Linked DNA regions of Lonchura striata. The protein of the gene in region 1 purifies or fractionates together with the protein of each later gene. This does not show direct contact. Links are inferred from orthologs where the notes say so. Each region holds a gene or a part of one and is shown in the gene's direction. Other genes may lie near its edges. The genes, in order: FOSL2 and cyclic AMP-dependent transcription factor ATF-7.

The links.
Region 2: the proteins of FOSL2 (region 1) and cyclic AMP-dependent transcription factor ATF-7 purify together in Homo sapiens (affinity purification with mass spectrometry; 3 studies listed by BioGRID and IntAct, counting the BioPlex papers as one, with this or other methods). This does not show direct contact. The link is inferred for Lonchura striata from reciprocal best matches to the Homo sapiens genes FOSL2 and ATF7.

The regions. Positions count from the first base shown.
Region 1 is NC_134605.1:6,833,312-6,845,520, forward strand, and holds the start of FOSL2 (fos-related antigen 2), read left to right. Parts: upstream 1-7,633; 5' UTR 7,634-8,202; coding exon 8,203-8,301; intron 8,302-12,209.
Region 2 is NC_134629.1:8,198,849-8,210,915, reverse strand, and holds the start of cyclic AMP-dependent transcription factor ATF-7, read left to right. Parts: upstream 1-6,326; 5' UTR 6,327-6,379; intron 6,380-12,067. UniProt on the Homo sapiens protein: Stress-responsive chromatin regulator that plays a role in various biological processes including innate immunological memory, adipocyte differentiation or telomerase regulation.

The DNA.
Region 1 (12,209 bases):
GTGCCGATAATAGACAGCTTTGCAAACCGCCAGCACAGCGATCCAACAGAGGACAGCACCCAGCAGAGCTCGGGACTCCTCCGCCTGCGGGGCTCTGGTAGGTGCCCCTACCTTCGGGGATGGTAGGTGGGCACTTTTGCAGAGGAAGCACCTCCTGGTCCTGCCCTGAGACCTCAGGTGGAAAAAATCTGCTTTTTCCTTGTCTTTCTGTACACAGTAGCAAGCGGAAAAATGCAGAGGACAGAAAAGTGCAGGGGATGGTGGAAAGATTCAATAACATCCTGGCTGAGGGCATCCTTGTAATCCTCCAAAAGCTAACCCAGCATTAAAAATACTCGGTAGGTTTTCCTGTACTGAGCGTTGATGTAATATCACGCATTACTTTAAAAGAACTTAGAATGCCTTTGACATAGACTGTGTGGAACTCAAACTTCTGGGTCATTCTTGAGAGGAAAGATGCGTGCTAATGACCTCAGAAATAAATTGATGAGTGATGGTGTGGGTGTTAACGTCTTTGAAATGGGTCTTAATGTCTCTACTGACTTTGGGCAGCAGGCTCCTTACCGGGACCGAACAGCTTGGTTCCTGAAACAAACAAGGGTCTGCACAAGGCTGAACTCCTGAATTTTGGGATAAAATAGTAGTTCAAGGGGGGAATATGTGCTAGGTGGTTCGGGAAGGCTGTACCTTCCTAGTACCTCAGCCAGTGGGGAAAGGAAGAGGGCAACATGTGGCCCGGAGTTAGGATAAATGGAGACTGCACCCTCCAAAACCTCGAGGGAGAAAACCCCGCGGGTGTGTACCCCGGTGGCCTCTCCCTTTAGTCGAATAAAGTTGAAGGACTCTGTCTCCATTTTAGACATAAACCGCTGGTGTTTGCAGCTTTTCACCTCTGGCTTTTGTGGATTTTCCTGACATTCTGCTGCTTTCAAAAACCCCATTCTGCATCCCTGACCAAGCCAGGAGTTGATTACAGAAGGTGTTTAGACTAGGACTTTAAAGGTAACACCCCATAATAGCAATCTCCACCGCATGTCCCAGAGAATCTGGTGAGTACTGCTGGTACTTAAGTGTTACCAGACTCCAGGCAGCCACTTTCTGCAGTGTGAACACCGTTTCAGCTTCGTGATGTCACCAACAAGATGTCCAAGGCAGCAAGAAGCTGAAATCCAACCACTCCATGCTCCATAGTGACTTATAACACTGTAGCCAGCTTGGAATCACCAGGCTCACGGAGAGCAGTGACCACCGGTCTGCAGGGGATGGGGACCTCAGCCAAAGGGGAATGCCACCACACTGCTTCCCGGAGCGAGGCTGCACACACCTGGGGTTGGTGTCACAGTCCTGTGCCACCCTTACAGAGTGATTGCTGGACCAGAGCCTCTCCTGGACGGCAAGAGAGGAAGAAGCCCCTCCCAGGTGCTCAGATGTATCCTTGGTCTGTTTTCAGTTCTAAATGCCCACATTCTAAGAAACCATCAGTGCTCCTAATGGATGTTTCTTTTCCAGGGATGCCAGAGGACAAAGTGGCTCAGGAAGATGGAAGGAGGCACTGGATTGCACGGACACCCATGGGATGGAGATGAGCCAGGCCATATGGGGACACCAGCCAGCTCCAGTGCCACTGCCCAGACTGGAAAGACTCTCCCTTCTTCCAAGGTTTTCAGCAGTGCACAGGTCATTGTGGTAGGAGACAGAAAGGACACTTAGCTGGTTCAGTCAACAAATAATTCTACCTTTGCGTTTCAGCTGTCTCTTCTGCTCCCTCCCTGAAACCTCCGCCACTGCCTCAAGCTGTGTCTGCAGGCACTGAGCTAATCAATATTACTTGGTGGGGAAAGTAAGTCTCACTTATTGGCCACAAATTCCCCTGAGTGCTTGTGTCAAAGCCTGTCATGTCAGCTGAAGGCAGGCTTACCAGCAGAAAGGTCAAACTGCCTCAACTAGATCTGAGCTCAGCCATTAAGTTCCTTGTGCTTATCTGCCTCCCACTATCAGGAGAACTATCTGTGTGCACTGCACACCTCCCTCCTCCTCCTCATCCTCCTCCTGGGTGCTGTGCTGCCAGGGAGCACTTTGGTGGGGCTGAATCACTCAGGCAGGAACAATGAGCTGACTGATAAGCTCAGCTGGGTGATCCACTTGGCCTGCACCACGTGTTTCAGGGAATAACCTCGGAAACTCTGGAAACATGGATGGTGACCAGAGCCCATCCCACCATCCCAGGCTGCAATTGCACAGGCTGGGTGCCCCTCCGCAGCATGGCTGTGGCCTGCTCGTGTTTGCACCTGAGCATGGGCACTTCAGGTGAGAAGTCCTCAGCATCTGTCCTGCTGAGCTGTGGGGGGCACTGGCAGGGGTGGGATTTTCTACTCCTAAGGTAGTTTTGCAGTCCTTTCCACTGCTCTGACACAAGAAAATGTGATTGTGAGGCTCCGTTCACAAAATACAGCAAGAAAACGTTCAAGTCTCTTACCAGACAGGACAATGGGAAAAATCCATGTTCAAGCTCCACGGGGCAGGGCTCCCATCCCATAAAAGACCTCCTGCTGGGTCTGTGCTGGCAGCACTGCCTGGGATCTTTTGGGGGCTGCAGAGTGGATGAGCCTCGTTGGACTGTTTGGCTTCTGGTACCAGAGGTGGTGTCTCTGCAGGAGGCAGGAGCGGGGCAAGGCAGACTCTCACGCTGCTGAAACAGGTTTGGAGCTGGGCAAACAAACACAGGTATCAAGATAAGACTGTTCATCTTGTGCCAAAAGGTGTCTTAGAGCTAGGCTCGTGGGATCTCTGTTCCCATCTCTCACATCCCATGTACTCTGGGGCTAGGAGCAAGCTTGTTCATTCAAAGGCAGGGATCTCCTGAAGCTGTTTTCTGCTTCCCTACACCAGCAAAATGCCGTAAACTGTGCGTTGTGGTCACCCCTAATGAGCCTTTGTTCCCAATCCGTGTCTTGCACCTGCTACTTTGTGGGTTGGTAGGATCTTTGTCCTGGAACATGTTAAGAAGGCTGAAGCCATTTCTGCTTTGAAGTAGTTTGGCCTTGTTGGTGTCTGGGATCTCTGCAGAGCTGACCCTGTGGGAGCCAGCAGGGACCTCTGGCTGCTGCTCCCACACCATGGCCATGCCACCAGCCTGACTAAGCAGTGCTAGGGGCGTCTGGTGCCCATCCTGCTGCAGGACTGCCTTGCTGCTTCCCCATCTGTATCCCAGGCCCTGTCACCCAGCCCTGCTTCAGAAAAGGGAAGAGCCTCACAGCATCTGGCTTTGTCCTAGGCTTTTATTTGAACTAGGACTGGAAAAGAGTTAAATGATGCCCATCACATCACCCGGCAGCAGTTAAGGGTAGCAGCACTGATGTCATTACCCTGAACTGGACAGTATGGCAGCACTCATCCTGCTGGGAATGTGGGGCAGAGCCAGCTGTCTGCTTGAACACAGGGACAGTGAGGCTGCAGTCACCTGAGAACAATTGAGGGGAGTGCCTCCCTGCCCTAAAGATACGCTGTGCTGCTGTGGGGAGGCCCATGGCCCCGTGCCTGGGGTAATCAGCAGGGGAGAGAGCTCCATGGTCCAAGAGGACATGGATAGGAAAAGCTCTGTCCTTGACAAGAAGTGTTTGAGGAACCACATGCAGAAGCCCTTTGAAGGAGAAAACCTCCATTCTCCCTTGGATATGCTGGAGTACTTAATAAATAACTGTAATTAAGCATGAGGTGGTAGCTTAAGAGCTCGTTCCCAGGAGTTAACATCAAAACACTTGCTCTTAGCACTTAAAGAGACAATATGAAAGCAGACTAAACGCACAGATGAAAGCAGAATTGTCAGGAAGGGCTGGAGAGCCCTGGATATGTGCTTCTGCAGAAAGCTCGAGGAAAAGGTCTCAGGAAACAAAAGAGTCACTTGTGTAAAAATGAACGGTGACGGAGAAAGCACCGATTTGCAAGAAGGTGGGAGTGAATTTTAAAACAGGACATGAGGAATTGTACGGGGAGAAGAGTATGATTTGTCTTAGGTTGTCCTGCAGCTCCCCACACCCCACCAGTGTGCTTCAGTCCCGACTCTCCTGCAGCCACCCCTCGGTCCAGAAGCTTCCCTGCCCCACTGCAGGAACAGCCCCAGCACATCCGAGCTCTCTGACACGGGTGGCAATACACATTTTAGGTGAAGTGATTACTGCAGGCTTCTTCACGGGAGATGTCTTAAGGGTTGGAAGAAGAGCAAGGAGAAGGAGAATCGTGGCTGCATATATTTTAAATTGAAAATCAATGATCTTGCCTTCAGGCAGGTGACACGGGGTGGCTGGGGCAGCCCAGCAGTGCTGGGGATGCTGGAGAAGAGATGCTTACAACCCGCCACGTGCTTGCCGAGGGCCAAGTCTAAGCTGCTGTGAAGTGCCCTTATCCACTATTCCCGTAAAAAACACTCTGAAAAGCATTCCCAGGTCTGGGTTTCAGGCTCCTAATTGCTGCCGAAATCGAGAAGCGTGAGGAGCCAAGGTCTCATTTGCCTTACAATGATCCTCTCCTGCCCTGGAACCTGGGCTGGTCTTAATTCGTCTTTGGTTCAGGCAAGAATGGACTAGGCAGGCGTACATGTTATCTCTTGTTTTTTGGAAGCAGGGAGCCTATTGCACAATGCAGCTTGGTCTGGATGAGTATTAAAAATGCATGTGTCTGGGGTACTGAGAGCCAGGCTAGTCTGAGTTATTTCAATCCAAAACAATAAAAAGTATTACAAAGGGGCTGATATGGGAATGAGGGGACTCAATCGGATGGAATATTTTTTACCAATGGGATGTACCAATTCCTTCTGTACGTGTGAGCCTGTCTTAGCCAGCAGGGTTTTGTGCTCCCAGGGCAGAAGAAACTCCAGTGAAGTCAATGTAAATACACAATAAAGCTTCAGCATCACATGATGGGTGTGGGTCAGGAGCTTTCGGAAGGCAAGGTGGTGCCAGTCCAGCTGCGGCAGGGAGGTTCATCACCCTACAGGAGCTGAGGGCTTGGCCTCAGGTGTGAATTCAGCTTCCTGCATTTCTTACAGGGCTTTTACCTGAGGATTTAAAAGTGTCAACTAATTGCATCCACATTAGCTGCAGCCAAATATTAAAACAGCCCTTGAATGTCATTTCGAACGAGCTGTTCCCAGACTAGGTCTAATGCAAATTTTTGCAGGACAGGATAGATGTGCCAAAATTATGTTGGGATAAGGTTTGAAAACAACGTTCAAAATGAGCATGAGCTGAAACATGAGGAGGGCAGGTAGTTTAGGGTTAATGAATTGCTGAAGACAAAGTATAGAAACAATTCTAGGAGGAGGGATGAAAAACACCTCTCTTTTCCTCTTGCAAAATGCTGCAACACTAATGTTCCAGCACCCCCATCTTGCTTCCGTGTTTCTGGCCATCACTCTTTCCCTACACCAAATACTTTTCTTGCATTTCTTGCTGATCAGCAGACTGGATTCTACAAGCCCACCAGCCTGATGTGAAACAGGACTAGAGCCAGGATTGATGAGCTCAGGCAGTGGTTCCTAAAATCTGGCAAGCCTCAGAGCCAGCAGCATCCTTCACCTGAGGGGGAGGCAGAGCAGAGGGTGATGACCAGCCAAAAGCCAGCCACAGCTTTTGTTAAGTTTATTTATTTTGATGTTTGTTTTACCCTTTCTCTCTTCATCTCTTGACAACTGCAGCCTGATTCCTCGCACATCTCAAAGTAATTCTCTTTCCAGCAGAAAGCAGCATGTGAAGATCACCTGCCACCCAAGGGGAAAACACATCACGGCCTCACTGTGCCTGCTAGAGCACTTCTCCCCCTCCCCACCCCTCACTCCTAGTGCAGTTCGAGTTGGAAACATGGGTATATTTTTACAGCCCTTTCCCCACCTCCTCCAAAGTCAGGTGCTGCCTGAAATAGGCCAGCTACTTTGGAGGGACAATTTCAATTGCCTGAATAATGAAGGTGTGAAAACTAAACCGCATCGGCAGGAATTTCAGTCCCAAATTCCTAAGTCAGTGCTAAAAAAGAACTAAGTGCTGAGGACTTAACCCCCATGGGGTGTTTCATTTCAGAGTTCCCTGAAGGCTCCAAGGTTGAGATGGGTGCTGCTACTGCCTTCCAAGGAGCACAGTGTGAGTGGAGGAAAGCCCGCTGCTTTTAGATGGGCTCCTGTGGGAAAATACCTTGTCCGTGAGACAGCTTAAATGGGATTTTATAGCTTGAACTTAGATGACTTCTCCCTCCCTACTAGCAAAAAGGACTTGCCCAGTGCTGGGCAAATCCTCCAGGGAGGGTGGAAATGAGACACTTTGTGTCTAGGAGTGGCATTTGAACAATCTGCTGTGTTCGCTGCAGATCAGCACAGAGCCCGCGTTCTGTGTGTGCTGGCTCTGCTCTATCTGCTTCTGCCACCTTTCAGCCTGTGCTCGTCAGTGACCTGGCAATGCCAGAGCCAGCCGCGGCAGGCTGGGACAGTCCTTGTCCCACGGGTTTCTGCTGCAGGGAAGCCCGGGGCTGTCACCTGATGTCCCTGTGACATACTCTGGTTTGGAGACCTAGAGTGGCTCTGCAGATCCTAGGAGGATGGAGGTGTCCACTTAAAAAGTAAAAATTAAATAATTAAAAAATAAAATAAGGGGGGTGGGGGGGGAGGGAGGAAAGGTAAGAATAGTTATCAAATTTGAATACGAATGAAAATAATAAAAATTTACATGAAAAGTAAATAGGAAGAATAGTTTAAAATTAAAGAGAAATTTAAAAATATTAGTGCACAATATTAGTAAACAAAAGGAAAATGTAGTTAATGAAAAGAAATTAAAATTATAGAAGTAATAACCACGAAAATGCAAAATAATAGAAATGTAAAATATTAAAAATGTAAAGTAATAAAAATAAAATATATATAAATAAATAAAATAAATAAATGAAGTAGTTTAACGATGCTATAAAAACTAGACGAGTCCAACGCTCGGTTTATTGATGCTCTGAGAAACGGATCGAGCCCTGGGGCAACTCTGGTGCCGACCACCCTCCTGCAGGGAGAAGGGCTGGATCAAAAGCCCCCCGAGACACCGAGGCGGGTCGGGCCGGTCTACGGGGTCGGACCCGCGCTGTTCCCCGCAGCCTCCCCGCGCCAGCGGAGCGCCTGTGCCTTTAAATCCCGGCGGCCGGGCAGGGAATCCCTCTCGCAGCGCGTCATCCGCGGCAAGGAAACCCGCGCTCGCGTCGTGCGACGCAAATGACCATTTTTGGCAACGTGCGACAGCGGACGGCACCAAGCGGGGCGGGGGAGGGCGGGGCCTGCCGGGAACCGGGCGCCGCGCTGCCCCCGCCGCCGCGCCCGCCCTGCCCCGCCGCCCGGACCGCGGGCCCGGCAGGGGCGGGCGCGGCGGGGCGGGCGGCGCGGCGGGCGCGGCCGGGGCGGGCGCCGTCCCCCCGCGGCCGGCCCGCCTCCCCCGCCGCGGCGGCAGGTGGGAGGCTCCGCGCTGCCGAGGTGCGCCGCGGGTTTGACGTGTGCGAGTGCACATGGTGCGGCGGCGGCGGCGGGCGGATAATAAGCGAGCGCGGCCGGGGCGATGCCATTGCTCTGAGTCACCGCGGGCGCGCGGAGCTCCCGCTCGCAGCGCCGCCGAGCCGCGGGGCGCAAGACCCGGCTGAGTCACCCCGCGCCGGGAAAAGGGGCGGCCGGTGTGTGGTGGTGGTGGTGGAGGAGGAGGAGGAGGTTGTTGGGGCGGAGGAGAACCGCTCCGCCTGCAGCCCCCGGGCCCGGAGCCGCTCCGCCGGCGAGGCGAGTTTCGCCGGGCATTGCGGAGAGAGGACATCGGCGAGCGCCCGCTTGCGCGCACGGCTCTGCTCCCGCCGCGCCGCCGAGTCCTGCCGTCCCGTCCCGTCCCGCAGGCGCTCGCTGCCAACTGAGCCACTTTTATCATCATTGTTATTATTTTTATTTTCTCTTTATTTTAAATTTTTTCCTTTTTATTTTTTTTTAATTTTTTTAAATTTTTTACCTTTTCCCCCCACTTTCTTCCTCGTCTCCAAAGCCGTTTTTATTATTTTTTTTTTCCCTCTCCGCGGCGAGCGTTGGGAGGCGAAAGGCAACCGCCGACGAGGTCGGGAGGGAGAAGGGGGCGGGGAGACGGCGAGGGAGCGGCGGTGTCGGTGTGGGAAGGCGGGGACGCGGCTCCCCCGGCCCGACCTCGGACCATGTACCAGGACTACCCCGGGAACTTCGACACCTCCTCCAGAGGCAGCAGCGGCTCCCCGGGACACCCCGAGACCTACTCGAGCGGCGCAGCACAGCAGGTAGGGCCGGGCACTGCCCCTCTCCCCCGGTCCCTCCGAGGGCTGCTCCGAGCGCTCCCGGGACGGGAGTTCACCGCCACGCCCGGGGAGCGGCCGGCGCTTCCTCCGCGGTGCAGGCACGGGCGCCCGGCGGAGAGGCGGCGGCCGCAGGGGCGCGGGGCTGCCCGCAGCCGCCGCTCCGTGCCGCCGCCCTCCGCGGGGCGCCGCCGCTTTCCCTCCCGCCCCGGAGCGGTGCCGCGACGCGTCCGGAGGGACGCTGAGCGGAGTTCCCCGCCTGTCGGTGTTGTGGGAGCCACGGCCTGGCCGAGCGGGGACGTGCGGTGACGAGCGCCCGGCGGGCAGGCTCCGCTGGCGCGGCCCCGGGTGCAGCGGGGTCGCCGGGTGTCGTAGCCGAGCCCCCGCCTGTAGCCCGGGCACCCGCCGCAGCGCCGGGCCGGGACCCGCTCGGCAATCAAAGGGCTACCGCGGGCGACTTCTCTGCGAGGTCGGTAACGCGAATACAGGGGCGCACCGAACTCTTCCTCCTTCCTGCTTTTGTTCTCATTGGGAGCTTCTCGCTGTCCACGTTCATCGCGGCTGCCTCGGGTGGTGCCCGGGGCTCGCCCGCAGCACTTTGGGCGGCTTCGCTGGGACTTTGGGAGGTGCCGCCCGAGTTATTCACGGAGCTGTTGCAGCCGCCGTGCAACACGGCAGGATAGCTGGAAGTGAGCTCTGGGTCTTTCCAGCGCCTGCGGTTGTCTCTGCCCGCTTCTCCCCCGTTAAAGTTTGTCTCCGAGGCGCTGACACTCTTTGCCACGGGGCCCACGCTGGCACCCCGCGGCCGCCGTGCTCAGCCCTCTGCCCGCCCGCCCCTTGGCTCCGCCGGCCGCTCTCCGGCCGGCCCTGGCTTTTTCCGAGCGGGAGTTTCCCGGGGCTCGCCGGAGCGTTCCCCGCGCTCCCCGGCCCCGCTCCCCGCTCAAGCCCCACTACCGGGCGGCGCTTCGAGAATGGGGAATATTTCCTGTGGAAGCGGCGTGAATTCACGGACCTGAAAGCCCAGTCTTGTGGTTTGGGTTTTTTTCCCTTTCATTTTCCTAAGAAAATACCTCGAAATTACTTATATGCCTAGATCGACTAAATCTACCACTTCTGGGGAAGGCATTACACAATCGGGCCAGTTATACAAACCTGGGTTATTTCATAACTTGTTTACATCAGCTGGCCCAGCCTCACTCTTTTTTTGCCTTTTCAGATTTGGGCTTCTCACCCCCCCCCCCCCCCCCTTTTTTTCTTTTTCTCATAATATTATTTCTTCTGTGGCTTGTATGAGCGAACTGGCATTGTGAGCGCAGTGTAGCCTTCACATCAGGGAGTCATAGGATAATTAAAAGAGAAAAAAAAAAAGAAGGAAAAAAGTCCAGTCTTAAACTCTGCCAGCCGTACCAGCCCGTGACATTCCTCACATTAAAGAAGTTTTACCAGAAATGACTCGCTGCCGCTCCCCGCCTGCTCCAAACGCATCTCGCTGGTGCCCTCTGCGGGCTGCGGACCTGGGTTTCCAGGGATTCTAGCTCAGCTAAAGCTTATTCCCTGGTTTACAGTAAACGCTAGGACAGGCTGGGGGAGCGGGAAAGGGGACTGAGAAGCTGGAAACGCCCGGCAAACTGCAAAATTCTCACTCTCCCTTTCCTGCCGTGATTTAACAGCTGCTCTGGATTCAAGCACTTGCTGCGGGAGGTCGAGAAACTCCATCAACCGCTTCACATTTGAGCTGTCACAGGCTGAGCAATAACTGGGTTTTCCCCTTTTTCTGGGGCTCCACGTCTTCCCCGGGCAGCTGGCGTGCGTGCTGATACGGGGACCAGAGCCCAGTTTCTAGGGTTACTATCTGAAACAGGACTTTGAGCAGGACGTTGGCTTAGCGAGAACATAAATGTTTTCTTTAAGAATCCGGGAGATTTCTTAAGGCCTTGTGCTCCGTCTTTCCCTTGATCCTTACAGATGTTGTAGATTAGGATCAAATGTAAGCGTTGCCTTTACCCTAGCAGTTGGGCTGTTCTGCTGATTCTGGTCTATGGAGATCTGCAGTTTTATCACTACAGAAAATATGCATTGCTGAAATTTTTTCTTTATTGTGTTCTCTTTTTTTTTCTCCCAAAAGCAAGAAAAGATGCATCAGTCACATGTTTAAATGGAAACTATGTCTCTGAGCCAAAACTTTGATGGTTTTTAATTATTTTTTCCCATAGAGCACAGCACTGGAACATTTTTCTTTTAAGTTGCGTGTCATGCTATTTTCCTAATCACTGACTTGCCATGTGGTAAACATAGACTTTAATGGGTAGAGTTTGTGTACTCTTTCAGAGTGGTCAAGTTTCCCCTGAGATATTATAGCATTGTGTCCAGTTTTCCTTTGATAAGCTGCTCAACATAGGAGACCCATCAAGGGTCTTGTATTTATTGTAAGATCTATCACATACACCCTATTTGACAACTGAGTAATGTTGAAGATGCTCTAGAATTTTTCTCAGTCGCTTTGTTGTTGGGTTTGATTCTTCTTTTCCCCCAGCCATTATACCAACTTCTTGACGGGTTTCTAGTGCTTCTCAGTGGACCAAAGAACACATCGGGGTGCTCTACGGAAACTTTAAGGTGGAGCAAGGAAACACAAAGCCAAAGCTTGAAATGTCCCCATGCTGTCTGTGCTGCTAAGTTGTGAGCTGCTAACATAGGCTGTCCCTGCTTGTGGCAGGACTCGCTGGAGCCTCCCCCGACTGTGGATCTGAGAAGGAAGGCTCTCATCCAACCCCATATTTTTAAGGCAGAGCAGAGACTGACCTCAGTTCTTGGCACACTTAATAACAGGACTCTTTCTGTTTGCTGTTTAGTTGTTGGGGTTTTTTAATGATACCTTCATGTGTGTTTGCTGGGGTCAGGAGGAGAGCGGTGGGTTGGCGGCTGAGCGCGTGCTGCGTGTGTAGCCCTGCAATCTCCCTATCGCCTCATCTTTCTGTAGCGTACTGAATTCCTTGTAGAGAAGAAGAGCTGAGAGCTGGCAGAGACCTGCTTCCAGGAGCTTCTCGTGGGTCAGGAGAGGACAGCTGTGCATGTCCTGTGAGAGGAGGAGGCAGGAGAGGGTCTGGAAAGAGAAGAAGTGGGGAGGTGGGTGAAGGCAGGCAGTGCTGTCAGGCTGGCAGGGGCATTGAAGCTCTCTGAGAGGAGGAGGGGCGAGGAGAGCAAAGATGGGGCTGCTGTTTGGGGGAAGTTCTGGCACTTCTGTGTGAGGAGGCTGGTGCTCAAAGGGGCTGTGCTGGGGAGGTGACAGGGAATTCAGGGCATGCCACTGCAACCAGCAGCATCCCAAGGTCGGAGCTGATGGCTGCTGGGCAGAATGTGGGGCTCAGCAGCATTTTGGCACAGCAGAGCTGATCCGGTGCAGTGTCCTAGCAGGGAAAGTGAGGTATGTGTGGAAAGCCTGATCAGTCAGGGAAGCAATGCTTGTTAAACCTGGTGTTAGACTGAGCACACTGTGTCTGAAGACTCCACCTGCCACAGCAGTGTGTCCCTTAATTAGTTATCCAGGAAAAATACTGCTTTTGGAAAGTACAGAGTACAGGTTTGGGGGATTTTTTTTATTTTTTTATTTCTAAGATATTTTGAATTATTAGAAGGGAAGCTGGTGACAGAGATGGGGCATGGCACAGGGAGGAACTAGTCTCTTTCCCCCAGGTCTGCAAGCAAGCATTGTGAAGCTGCAGAGGGATGTGGCTGAACTGAGCAGCTCCCCTTTGCTGTTCAAAAACCTCTCCTAGTGTTACAGAAGGGCCCTAGGTTGAATACAGGCGTGGTTGGAAATGGAGTACTTGCTTAGTCAATATTTGGAGCCTGATTTTTGTGTCAGATGCTTGTACATGGTTGATTTGATGGTG
Region 2 (12,067 bases), on another chromosome or scaffold:
CCCCGGCGGTTTTGAGGCAATAAAAGGGGATTTTGGGGTGGGGAATTCTGCCCCGGCGGTTTTGAGGCAATAAAAGGGGATTTTGGGGTGGGGAATTCTGCCCCGGCGGTTTTGAGGCAATAAAAGGGGATTTTGGGGTGGGGAATTCTGCCCGGCGGTTTATGGAGCCTCTCTGCGGTGCTCATTACCAGCGCGGCGCTGCTTTTGGGTTGTTTTAACGGGGATCTTTTATTTTATTATTCGCTTTTTATGGCTATATATATATATTTTTTCCCCCTTATTTTCTTTCCGAGGTAGAACCGAAAAAAAAAAAAAAAAAGGGAAAAGGAAAAAAAAAAAAAAAAAGGAAAAAATGCCATGCGCAGCCCCCCGTGCCTGGAGGGATCGGTGTAAAATCCGGAACAATTTGTCACTTAGAGCAGGAAATAAAAATGATGGATCGGAGGCCGGGCCGGGCTCGGCGGAGGCTTCACCTCCTGCTCGGGAGAGGGGAGAGGAGGCAGAAAAATCGGGATTTTGGGGGGAAATCGGGATTTCAGGACAGAAATTGGGGTTTGGGGGAGAAAATTGGGATTTTGGGGGGGAAAACCGTGATTTTTGGGGGGGGAAAAAGTGGGATTTTGAGGGTGGAAATTGGAATTTTCAGGGGAAAATTGGGGTTTTTTGGGGAAAATTTGGGTGCTGGGGGGATTTTTGGGGTTTGAGGTGTGGGAAGGAAGGAAGGAAGGAGGGAAAAAGAGGAAAAGGTGGGGGGAAAAGGGGAAAGAAGGGGGAAGGCAGGGAAAAGAGAAAAAAAGGGGGAAATGGGCGAAAATGGGGGGGAAATGGAAAGGGTGAAAAAAGGGAAAATAGGGAAAAAGGGGGGGAAATGGAGAAAAAAGGGGAAAATAAGGGGGAAAAGGGGGGAAAAAGGGGAAAAAAGGAGGGGAAAAAAGGGGGAAAAAAGGGGGGAGAAAGGGAAAAAAGGGGGAAAAAAGGGGGGAAAAAAAGGGGGAAAAAGGGATTTCTCCCTCCCTGGGCCCGTCCTTCCTCCCGGGGCTGCCTCTCCTTCCCCTGCCTCAGTTTCCCCGTGCCCGGCCCGTGCCAGGGAGGGCCCGAGGGGGGCGAGGGGCGCCCCTCCCCCCCTCCCCTCCCCCCCTCCCCTCCCCCCTCTCCCCTCCCCTCCCCTCCCCCTCCGCAATTCCTTTTGCTCCTTTTTCTCTCCCGTGCCGATGGAAATGGCGCCGCCGCCCCGCGCGGCTCTTCGGGCTTTTGGGGATTTTTGGGGCTTTTTTGGGATTTTTGTATTTTTTCCATATTTCTGTTTTTTTTGGGTTTTTTTTCCGCCCGTTACCATGGAAACCTTCCCGCGGCTGCGCTCCCCGCGGGACAAACGGGACACGGGGACACGGGGACAGCCGGGGACACCTGGGGGGACAGCCGGGGACACCTGGGGACACCCGGGGACACCCGGGGACACCTGGGGACACCCGGGGACACCTGGGGACACCCGGGGACACACGGGGACACCCGAGGACACCTGGGGACACCCGGGGACACCTGGGGACACCTGGGGACACCCATGGGACACCCATGGGACACCCGGGGACACCTGGGGACACCCTGGGGACAGCCGGGGACACCCGGGGACACCTGGGGACACCCATGGGACACCCATGGGACACCCGGGGACACCTGGGGACACCCTGGGGACAGCCGGGGACACCCGGGGACACCTGGGGACACCCGGGGACACCTGGGGACACCTGGGGACACCTGGGGACACCCATGGGACACCCGGGGACACCTGGGGACACCCGAGGACACCCGGGGACACCTGGGGACACCTGGGGACACCTGGGGACACCCATGGGACACCCATGGGACACCCGGGGACACCTGGGGACACCCGAGGACACCCGGGGACACCTGGGGACACCCGGGGACACCTGGGGACACCCGGGGACACCTGGGGACACCTGGGGACACCCGGGGACACCTGGGGACACCTGGGGACACCCGGGGACACCCGGGGACAGCCCCGAGCAGCACGGGGGGCACTGGGGGGTTGGGGGATTTGGGGACACTGGGGACCCAAATTCCCCTTTTCCAGCCCCAAATTCCCCTCTCCCAGGTCCAAATTCCCTTTTTTTCCCCCCGATTTTCGCCCGGGACATCCGGCAGGGAGCTGGGATGGGGAAACTGAGGCACGGCAGGGCCGGGGTCAGCCCGGGGCTGCGACTGTCCCCTCGTGTCCCCTCGTGTCCCCTCGTGTCCCCAAGCTCCGGGTGACCTTTCCCGCTGTCCCCGCCTCGCTCCCGGCTTTTATTCCCGGTTTTATTTTTTATCTTTCCCCGCTCGCGCTGCGGGATTGGATTTTCCCGTCGCAGTGCGGGGGGAGGGAGCCCCGGCCCCGGCCCCGGCCCCGAACCCCCAAATCCTGGGAGAGAACCCCAAATCCTGTCCCCGAACCCCAAATCCTGGGAGAGAACCCCAAATCCTGGGAGAGAACCCCAAATCCTGTCCCCGAACCCCCAAATCCTGTCCCCGAACCCCAAATCCTGGGAGAGAACCCCAAATCCTGTCCCCGAACCCCAAATCCTGGGAGAGAACCCCAAATCCTGTCCCCGAACCCCAAATCCTGGGAGAGAACCCCAAATCCTGTCCCCGAACCCCCAAATCCTGGGAGAGAACCCCAAATCCTGGGAGAGAACCCCAAATCCTGTCCCCGAACCCCCAAATCCTGGGAGAGAACCCCCAAATCCCTGTCCCCATCCCCGTCCCCTCCAGCCCCTCCCAGTGCTCCCCATTTTCCCCCAGGCCGCCCAAACTGGGGAGGGGGCTCCGGGCTCCGGGGGGCTCGGGGGTCCCGGGGGGCTCCGGGGTTCGGGGGTCCCGGGGGTCTTGGGGGGCTCCGGGGTTCGGGGGTCCCGGGGGTCTTGGGGGGCTCCGGGGTTCCGGGGGTCTTGGGGGGCTCCGGGGGTCTTGGGGGGCTCCAGGGTCCCGGGGGTCTTGGGGGGCTCCGGGGTTCCGGGGGTCCCGGGGGTCTTGGGGGGCTCCGGGTTCCGGGGGTCTCGGGGGTCTTGGGGGGCTCCGGGGGTCTCGGGGCGGAGCCGCGGCCGAAATGGGGAAGGAAACAAAGGAAGGAGAAAAGGAGAAACAGAAACTGGAAAAGGGGAGGGGGCGGCACCGGGGCTGGGGGGATTTGGGGGCCCGGGGGTCCCGGGGCCGCGGTTTGGGGGTCCCCCCCTGGGCCGGAGCCCCCCGGCCCCGGGCTCCCGTTAACGGCCGTTAATTACCGCCCTGCTTTAATTAACGGCCGGGACGGCTCCGCCGCAGCAGCGCCGCCGGGGAGGGGACAGGGGGTGGCAGTGTCCCCAAGGGGGTGGCAGTGTCCCAAAGGGGGGTGGCAGTGTCCCAAAGGGGGTGACAGTGTCCCCAAGGGGGGGTGGCAGTGTCCCCAGGGGGGGTGGCAGTGTCCCAAATGGGGGTGGCAGTGTCCCCAGGGTGGGGGTGGCAGTGTCCCCAAGGGGGTGGCAGTGTCCCAAAGGGGGTGACAGTGTCCCCAAGGGGGGTGGCAGTGTCCCCAGGGGGGGTGGCAGTGTCCCCAAAGGGGGTGGCAGTGTCCCCAGGGGGGGTGGCAGTGTCCCCAGGGGGGGTGGCAGTGTCCCCAAGGGGGGGGTGGCAGTGTCCCCAAGGGGGGTGGCAGTGTCCCCAAGGGGGGGTGGCAGTGTCCCCAAAGGGGGTGGCAGTGTCCCCAAGGGGGGTGGCAGTGTCCCCAAGGGGGAGTGGCAGTGTCGGTGGGGACACCTTGGGGACACCTTGGGGACACCTGGAGACATCTTGGGGACACTTGGGGACATCTTGGGGACACGGGGACACCCTGGGGACACCCTGGGGACATCTTGGGGACACCTGGGGACACTTGGGGACATCTTGGGGACACGGGGACACCCTGGGGACACCCTGGGGACATCTTGGGGACACCTGGGGACATTTTGGGGACACCTGGGGACACGGGGACACCCTGGGGACATCTTGGGGACACCCTGGGGACGTTTTGGGGACACCTGGGGACACGGTGCCACCCCCCCCGCCCCAGGCGCGCTCACGTGCGCTGCTCCGCGTTCCCGCCAGAGGGCGCGCGCGGCCCCGCCCCCGGCCCCGCCCCCCGGCCCGGGTCCTCCCGTCCGGCAGGGGGCGCACGGCCCCGCCGCGCATGCGCACACGGAGCGGCTGAGACGGGGGGGGCACTGAGAGACCCCCGGGGCTTCCCTGGGTCTGTCCCAGCCTGTCCCGGGTCCGTCCCGGTCTCTCCCGTGCCTATCCCGCTCTATTCCGGTTTATCCTGGGTCTATCCCGGTCTATCCCTGGCCTGTCCCGGCTCTGTCCCAGGTCTATCCCGGGTCTATCCCGGCTCTGTCCCAGCTCTGTCCCGGCTCTATCCCGGCTCTGTCCCTGGCCTGTCCCGGCTCTGTCCCGGGTCTATCGCGCTCTATCCCGGGTCTATCCCGGGTCTATCCCGGCTCTGTCCCGGCTCTGTCCTGGTCTATCCATGGCCTGTCCTGGCTCTATCCCGGCTCTGTCCCAGTCTATCCCTGGCCTGTCCCGGGTCTATCCCGCTCTATCCCGGTGTATCCCGGCTCTGTCCCGGCTCTATCCCGCTCTATCCCGGTTCTATCCCGGCTCTGTCCCGGCTCTATCCCGCTCTATCCCGGTTTATCCCGGCTCTATCCCGGTCTATCCCGGCTCTATCCCGGTCTATCCCGGTTTATCCCGGTCTATCCCGGCTCTATCCCGGCTCTATCCTGGTTTATCCCGGCTCTGTCCCGGGTCTATCCCGGTCTATCCCGCTCTATCCCGGTCTATCCTGCTCTATCCCGGCTCTGTCCCGGGTCTATCCCGGCTCTATCCCGGGTCTATCCCGCTCTATCCTGGTCTATCCCCGCTCTATCCCGCTCTAGCCCGGTCTATCCCGCTCTATCCCGGTTTATCCCGGCTCTATCCCGGTTTATCCCGGCTCTATCCCGGCTCTATCCCGCTCTATCCCGGTTTATCCCGGCTCTATCCCGGTCTATCCCTCGCCTGTCCCGGCTCTGTCCCGGGTCTATCCCGGCTCTATCCCGCTCTATCCCGGCTCTATCCCGCTCTATCCCGGTTTATCCCGGCTCTATCCCGGCTCTATCCCGCTCTATCCCGGTTTATCCCGGCTCTATCCCGCTCTATCCTGGTCTATCCCGGCTCTGTCCCGGCTCTGTCCCGGTCTATCCCGGCTCTATCCCGGTCTATCCCGGCTCTATCCCGGCTCTATCCTGGTCTGTCCCGGCTCTATCCCAGCTCTATCCCGGTCTATCCCGGCTCTGTCCCGGCTCTATCCCGGTCTATCCCGGCTCTATCCCGGCTCTATCCTGGTCTATCCCGGCTCTGTCCCGGCTCTATCCCGGTCTATCCCGGCTCTATCCCGGTCTATCCCGCTCTATCCCGGTCTGTCCCGGTTCTATCCCGGTCTATCCCGCTCTATCCCGGTCTATCCCGGTCTGTCCCGGCTCTATCCCGGTCTATCCCGCTCTATCCCGGTTTATCCCGGTTCTATCCCTGGCCTGTCCCGGTTCTATCCCGGTCTATCCCTGGCCTGTCCCGGCTCTGTCCCGGCTCTATCCCGGCCTATCCCGGCTCTATCCCGCTCTATCCCGGCTCTATCCCGCTCTATCCCGCTCTATCCCGGCTCTATCCCGGTCTATCCCGGTCTGTCCCGGCTCTATCCCGGTCTATCCCGCTCTATCCCGGTTTATCCCGGCTCTATCCCGGTCTGTCCCGGCTCTATCCCGGTCTATCCCGCTCTATCCCGGTTTATCCCGGCTCTATCCCGGTCTGTCCCGGCTCTATCCCGGTCTGTCCCGGCTCTATCCCGGTCTATCCCGCTCTATCCCGGTTTATCCCGGCTCTATCCCGGTCTGTCCCGGCTCTATCCCGGTCTGTCCCGGCTCTATCCCGGTCTATCCCGCTCTAGCCCGGTCTATCCTGCTCTATCCCGGTTTATCCCGGTCTATCCCGGCTCTATCCCGGCTCTAGCCCGGTTTATCCCGGCTCTATCCCGGCCTGTCCCGGCTCTGTCCCGGCTCTATCCCGGTCTATCCCTGGCCTGTCCCGGTCCCGCCCCTGCCCGCACGTGTCGCGCTCCCCGCGGGGCCCCGGGGCGGGGCCTGTCTCTGACCACGCCCACCCCGCGCGGCAGCCCCGCCCCTCGCCGCCGAGGCCCCGCCCCCGCGGCGCCCCATTGGCCGCGGCGCCGTTAGCTGCGCGCGGCTCTCGCGAGAGCCGGGCGCGCGGGGCGGGGGGGCGGCGGCGGCCCCAGCGCGAGCGGCGGCGGCGGCGCGCGGGCCCGGCCCGGCTCCCTCAGGTAACGGCGGCGGCGGGGCGGGGCGGCCCCGGGGGCGGCGGTGGCGGCGGCGGCGGCGGCGGGGCGGCCCCGGGGGCGGCGGGAGCCGCGGCCGGCCCCTCCCCCCACAACTCTCCCCGAGTTTTCGTGCGGCCGTGGCTCCGCCCGCCCCGCCCCCGCGCTGAGTGGCGGCGCGCCTCGGCCAATCGCGGCGCGCGCCGCCCCTGAGCGGCGGGAGCGCCGGCCAATGGCGGCAGAGGGGGGCGCCGCTAGGCGGGAAAGCCCCGCCCACGGGGCGGGGCCGCGCGGCGGCGAGGGGCCCGGGCGGGGCGGGGGGAGCCCGGAATGGGGCTGGGGGTGAGGGGAGCCCGAAATGGGGCGGGGGGAGCCGGGAATGGGGCTGGGGGTGAGGGGAACCGGAGTGGGGCGGGGGGTGAGGGGAACCGGAGTGGGGCTGGGGGAGTTCAGGGGTGACAGGACCCCGAAATGGGGCTGGGGCTGAGGGGAGCCGGAGTGGGGCGGGGGGACCCCGAAATGGGGTTGGGGGTGAGGGGAACCGGAGTGGGGCGGGGGGTGAGGGGAGCCAGGAGTGGGGTTGGGAGAGCCAGGAGTGGGGCGGGGGGAGTTCAGGGCTGACAGGACCCCGAAATGGGGCTGGGGGTGAGGGGAACCGGAGTGGGGCTGGGGGTGAGGGGAGCCAGGAGTGGGGCTGGGGGAGTTCAGGGCTGATAGGACCCCGAAATGGGGCTGGGGGCTGAGGGGAGCCAGGAGTGGGGCTGGGGAAGTTCAGGGCTGATAGGACCCCGAAATGGGGCTGGGGGCTGAGAGGAGCCAGGAATGGGTCTGGGGGCTCAGGGGAGCCCCGGGGTTCCGGGGGACTGGGGCTCTGCAGGGAGCTGCAGGCTGGGGGGCTCTGGGGGTCTCGGGGTGCAAACAGGGGCAGCGCCTGCAGGGGTTTTGGGTGGGGGGTTCAAGGGAGGGGGATTCCATGGGGAGCCTCTGTGCTGGGGGTCTCTGAGGTGAGGAGGGGTCTCTGTGACAGGGGTCTCTGTGCTGGGGTCTCTGTGCTGGGGTCTGTGTGCTGGGGAGGGGTCTCTGTGCTGGGGTCTCTGTGGTGGGGAGGGGTCTCTGTGACAGGGGTCTCTGTGCTGGGGTCTCTGAGGTGAGGAGGGGTCTCTGTGCTGGGGGTCTCTGTGCCGGGGTCTCTATGGTGGGGAGGGGTCTCTGTGGTGGGGAGGGGTCTCTGTGCTGGGGTCTCTGTGGTGGGGAGGGGTCTCTGTGCCGGGGTCTCTGTGCTGGGGTCTCTGAGGTGAGGAGGGGTCTCTGTGACAGGGGTCTCTGTGCCGGGGTCTCTGTGCTGGGGAGGGGTCTCTGTGGTGGGGAGGGGTCTCTGTGGTGGGGAGGGGTCTCTCTGTGCCAGGGTCTCTCTGGCTCCGCTCCCTACGGGGTTTTGGCCCTGCTGCTGTGCCCGGGTGGGTTTCGGGGCGCAGTCGCTCTGGGAGCCCCAAACCCGCCCCGTTCCTGTGGAAAAGTTCCTGGTTTCGGGGTGCTCCTGAGCCGTGGGACACCCGCGGGTTGTTCCACTGGGAATTTCAGCCTTTTCCCGGGATTTGTCTGTGTTTTCCTGCATCCCTGGGCTGTGCAGCAGAGCCCTGGGATCTCTGGGAGCAGGAGAATTCGGGGCTGCCCACCCGGCGGGCGCGGGACCCTCCCTGCTCGGGGCAGGGCCGGGGGTCCCTGCTGGGAGGCAACTCCCGATCCCTGATCCCTGCCGCTGTTCCCCTTCCCTCCAAACCCCCGAGCCGGCGCAGGGGGGATTCCGGGGGGATGTGGGGTGGGAATCCCCCTCGTGCTGGGAAATGGGGAACCCGAGAGAGGAACCGGCTGGGGCTGCGGTGTCCCTGCTGAGGGGGGGAACGGCCTGGGGAATAACCCTGGGAGCTGCTCAAAGTCCTGGGGAATAACCCTGGGAGCTGCTGGTCCTGGGGAATAACCCTGGGAGCTGCTGGTCCTTAGGAGGAGAGGGAATAACCCTGAGAGCTGCTCAAAGTCCTGGGGAATAACTCTGGGAGCTGCTGGAACGTCTTGGGGAATAACCCTGGGAGCTGCTGGTCCTTAGGAGGAGAGGGAATAACCCTGGGAGCTGCTCAAAGTCCTGGGGAATAACTCTGGGAGCTGCTCAGAATCCTGGGGAATAACCCTGGGAGCTGCTGGTCCTGAGGAGGGAAAGGAATAACCCCAGGAGCTGCTGGAACATCCTGGGGAATAACCCTGGGAGCTGCTCAAAGTCCTGGGGAATAACTCTGGGAGCTGCTGGTCCTGAGGAGGGAAAGGAATAACCCTGGGAGCTGCTGGTCCTGGGGAGGAGAGGAAAGAATAACCCTGGGAGCTGCTGGCAGCATCCCGGGCAAGGCAGGCCGTGCTGAGGCCGGGCTGGGGCCGCTCCGGGCCAGGGCTGGAAGGGTCCCTGGGCTGGAAGGGTCCCGGGCTGGAAGGGTCCCGGGCTGGAAGGGTCCCCGGGCTGGAAGGGTCCCCAGGCTGGAAGGGTCCCCAGGCTGGAAGGGTCCCGGGCTGGAAGGATCCCCGGGCTGGAAGGGTCCCCGGGCTGGAAGGATCCCCGGGCTGGAAGGATCCCGGGCTGGAAGGATCCCCGGGCTGGAAGGGTCCCTGGGCTGGAAGGGTCCCCAGGCTGGAAGGGTCCCCGGGCTGGAAGGGTCCCTGGGCTGGAAGGGTCCTGGGCTGGAAGGATCCCCGGGCTGGAAGGATCCCGGGCTGGAAGGATCCCGGGCTGGAAGGGTCCCCGGGCTGGAAGGATCCCCGGGCTGGAAGGATCCCGGGCTGGAAGGATCCCGGGCTGGAAGGATCCCCGGGCTGGAAGGATCCCCGGGCTGGAAGGGTCCCCGGGCCAGGCCCGTGCCCACGGCGCCGTTCTGGGTGTCAGGGAAGGAGCTCTGCCTTGCCTTTGGCTTTGGACTCGTTTTCTGCCGCGTCCCACGTGATGCTGCTGCGCCTCTGCTTGGGTTTATTTATCCTCGGACTTTCTTGGGGCCTTCTTTTTCTTTCTTTTTAGTTCTTCCCCCTTCTTTTCCCCCCCCTTCTTTTTCCCCCCTTCTTTTTTCCCCCACTTCTTTTTCTTTCCCCTCTTTTTTTTCCCATTCCTGGCTCTGTGAACCGAGGCCAGATTTCCCAAACTGCAGCCAGGGAGGAAACACTGGAGGTGCTGAGGAATTCCCAATGGATGCTCCCCCTTTTCCTGGGGCTGTCCCTCACCTTTCCTTTGTTTTCCCGTTTTTTTGGCATCTCCCTGTTCCCAAAACCCGCAGGATCCCTTTAGGATGCTGGTGGCTCCATCTCGTGAAGCTTCACTTGGAGTTCTGGGAGCTCCTGTCGGGAATGGGGGCTCTGCTGCCCACAAAGCACAGCTCAAACCGTGGCTGCAGCACCTGGGCTCTCTGCACTCCTTTCTCTGCACTCCTTTTTCTGCAATCCCTTTCTGCAATCCATTTCTGCAGACCCTGGAGCATTTCTCTGTCCCCTCAGATTTTTAGGGCTCGTGCATCAAACAGCGGCACCCCAAAACCCCCCGAAAGCTGAACGAAGGTGGGATGGGATAATGCCAGGTGCCACAGGAGGTTTTTGGCACGGGGAGGGCACTGTGGGGCTCCCTGGCCCCATTGTTGGGTTCACGGGCAGGGTTTTGTCGAGGCGCTCGCTCTCACCCCGCGCTCCTCGCAGCCCTGACTTTGCTCTTCCCTTCAAACCATCCACACACATCGGCAGGGAAAATATGTTCCAGCTCAGCTCGGGGCTCTCGTGCCTCGTTTGCAGCAGCTTTCATTGAAACAAGGGCTCTGAAGTGGCGAAATAATTTCAGGAAATGGGACTCCAGTTTCTGGGTCGCTCAGGCATTTCCGAGGTATAAAATACTGCGCGCTCCGAGGCCGCGGCGGCCGCGGGGTAATGAGGGGCCGGGCGCGGAGCAGCGGCTCTCCGAGGCCTCCCCTTGCTCCCGTAAAGCTGAGTTATTTCCCCGCGCCGCCGTAGATCTCGGCACGGCCGGGATGGATCGCCCCGGAGCTGCTGCTGCTGCCCGCGCCTCCGCCCTGGCGGCAACGGGAAGGGATTCCTGCCGGGGTTTGGGCCTGGCGCTGCGTTTGTGCCGGGCTCGGGCACAGGTCGTGCCCCTGGGGCGGGCAGAGCTCCGGGTCTCACAGGGCTTGGGGCTCCTGGAGGTGATTTGGAGCTCCTGGAGGTGATTTGGAGCTCCTGGAGGTGGCCACGAGCTCCTGGAGGCGGCCACAGGCTCCTGGATGTGGCCACGGGCTCCTGGAGGTGATTTGGAGCTCCTGGAGGTGATTTGGAGCTCCTGGAGGTGGCCACGGGCTCCTGGAGGTGGCCACGAGCTCCCTGGAGGTGGCCACGGGCTCCTGGGGGTGATTTGGAGCTCTGGAGGTGGCCATGGGCTCCTGGAGGTGATTTGGAGCTCCTGGAGGTGGCCACGGGCTCCTGGAGGTGGCCACGAGCTCCCTGGAGGTGGCCATGGGCTCCTGGGGGTGATTTGGAGCTCTGGAGGTGGCCATGGGCTCCTGGAGGTGGCCACGGGCTCCTGGAGGTGGCCACGAGCTCCCTGGAGGTGGCCACGGGCTCCTGGGGGTGATTCGGAGCTCTGGAGGTGGCCATGGGCTCCTGGAGGTGATTTGGAGCTCCTGGAGGTGGCCACGGGCTCCTGGAGGTGGCCACGAGCTCCCTGGAGGTGGCCATGGGCTCCTGGGGGTGATTTGGAGCTCCTGGAGGTGGCCACGGGCTCCTGGAGGTGGCCATGAGCTCCCTGGAGGTGATTTGGAGCTCCTGGAGGTGGCCACGGGCTCCTGGAGGTGACCATGGGCTCCTGGAGGTGGCCATGAGCTCCCTGGAGGTGATTTGGAGCTCCTGGAGGTGGCCATGGGCTCCTGGAGGCTGCTCGGAGCTCTGGAGGCCGCTCCAGCCTCAGGGACTTCCCTTTGGCTCCGGAGGTCCTGGAGCCACCAACTGCCACCAAAGAGGGCCCAGACGCTCCCGAATCCCTGTCCGGGTGCTCTGGCCGAGGTCAGGGCTTTGCTTTGAGGTGACAGGACGGTGACAATGCCCCTGTCCCTGTCCCTGTGGTGGGAGGACGGTGACAATGTCCCTGTCCCTGTCCCTGTGGGTGACAGGATGGTGACAGTGCCCCTGTTCCTGTCCCTGTGGGTGACAGGATGGTGACAGTGCCCCTGTTCCTGTCCCTGTGGGTGACAGGATGGTGACAATGTCCCTGTCCCTGTGGTGGCAGGACGGTGACAATGTCCCTGTCCCTGTCCCTGTGGGTGACAGGATGGTGACAGTGTCCCTGTCCCTGCCCCTGTGGGTGACAGGACGGTGACAATGCCCCTGTCCCTGTCCCTGTGGGTGACAGGACGGTGACAATGTCCCTGTCCCTGTCCCTGTCCCTGTGGGTGACAGGACGGTGACAATGTCCCTGTCCCTGTCCCTGTGGGTGACAGGACGGTGACAATGTCCCTGTCCCTGTCCCTGTCCCTGTGGGTGACAGGATGGTGACAGTGTCCCTGTCCCTGTCCCTGTGGGTGACAGGACGGTGACAATGTCCCTGTCCCTGTGGGTGACAGGACGGTGACAATGTCCCTGTCCCTGTCCCTGTCCCTGTGGGTGACAGGATGGTGACAGTGTCCCTGT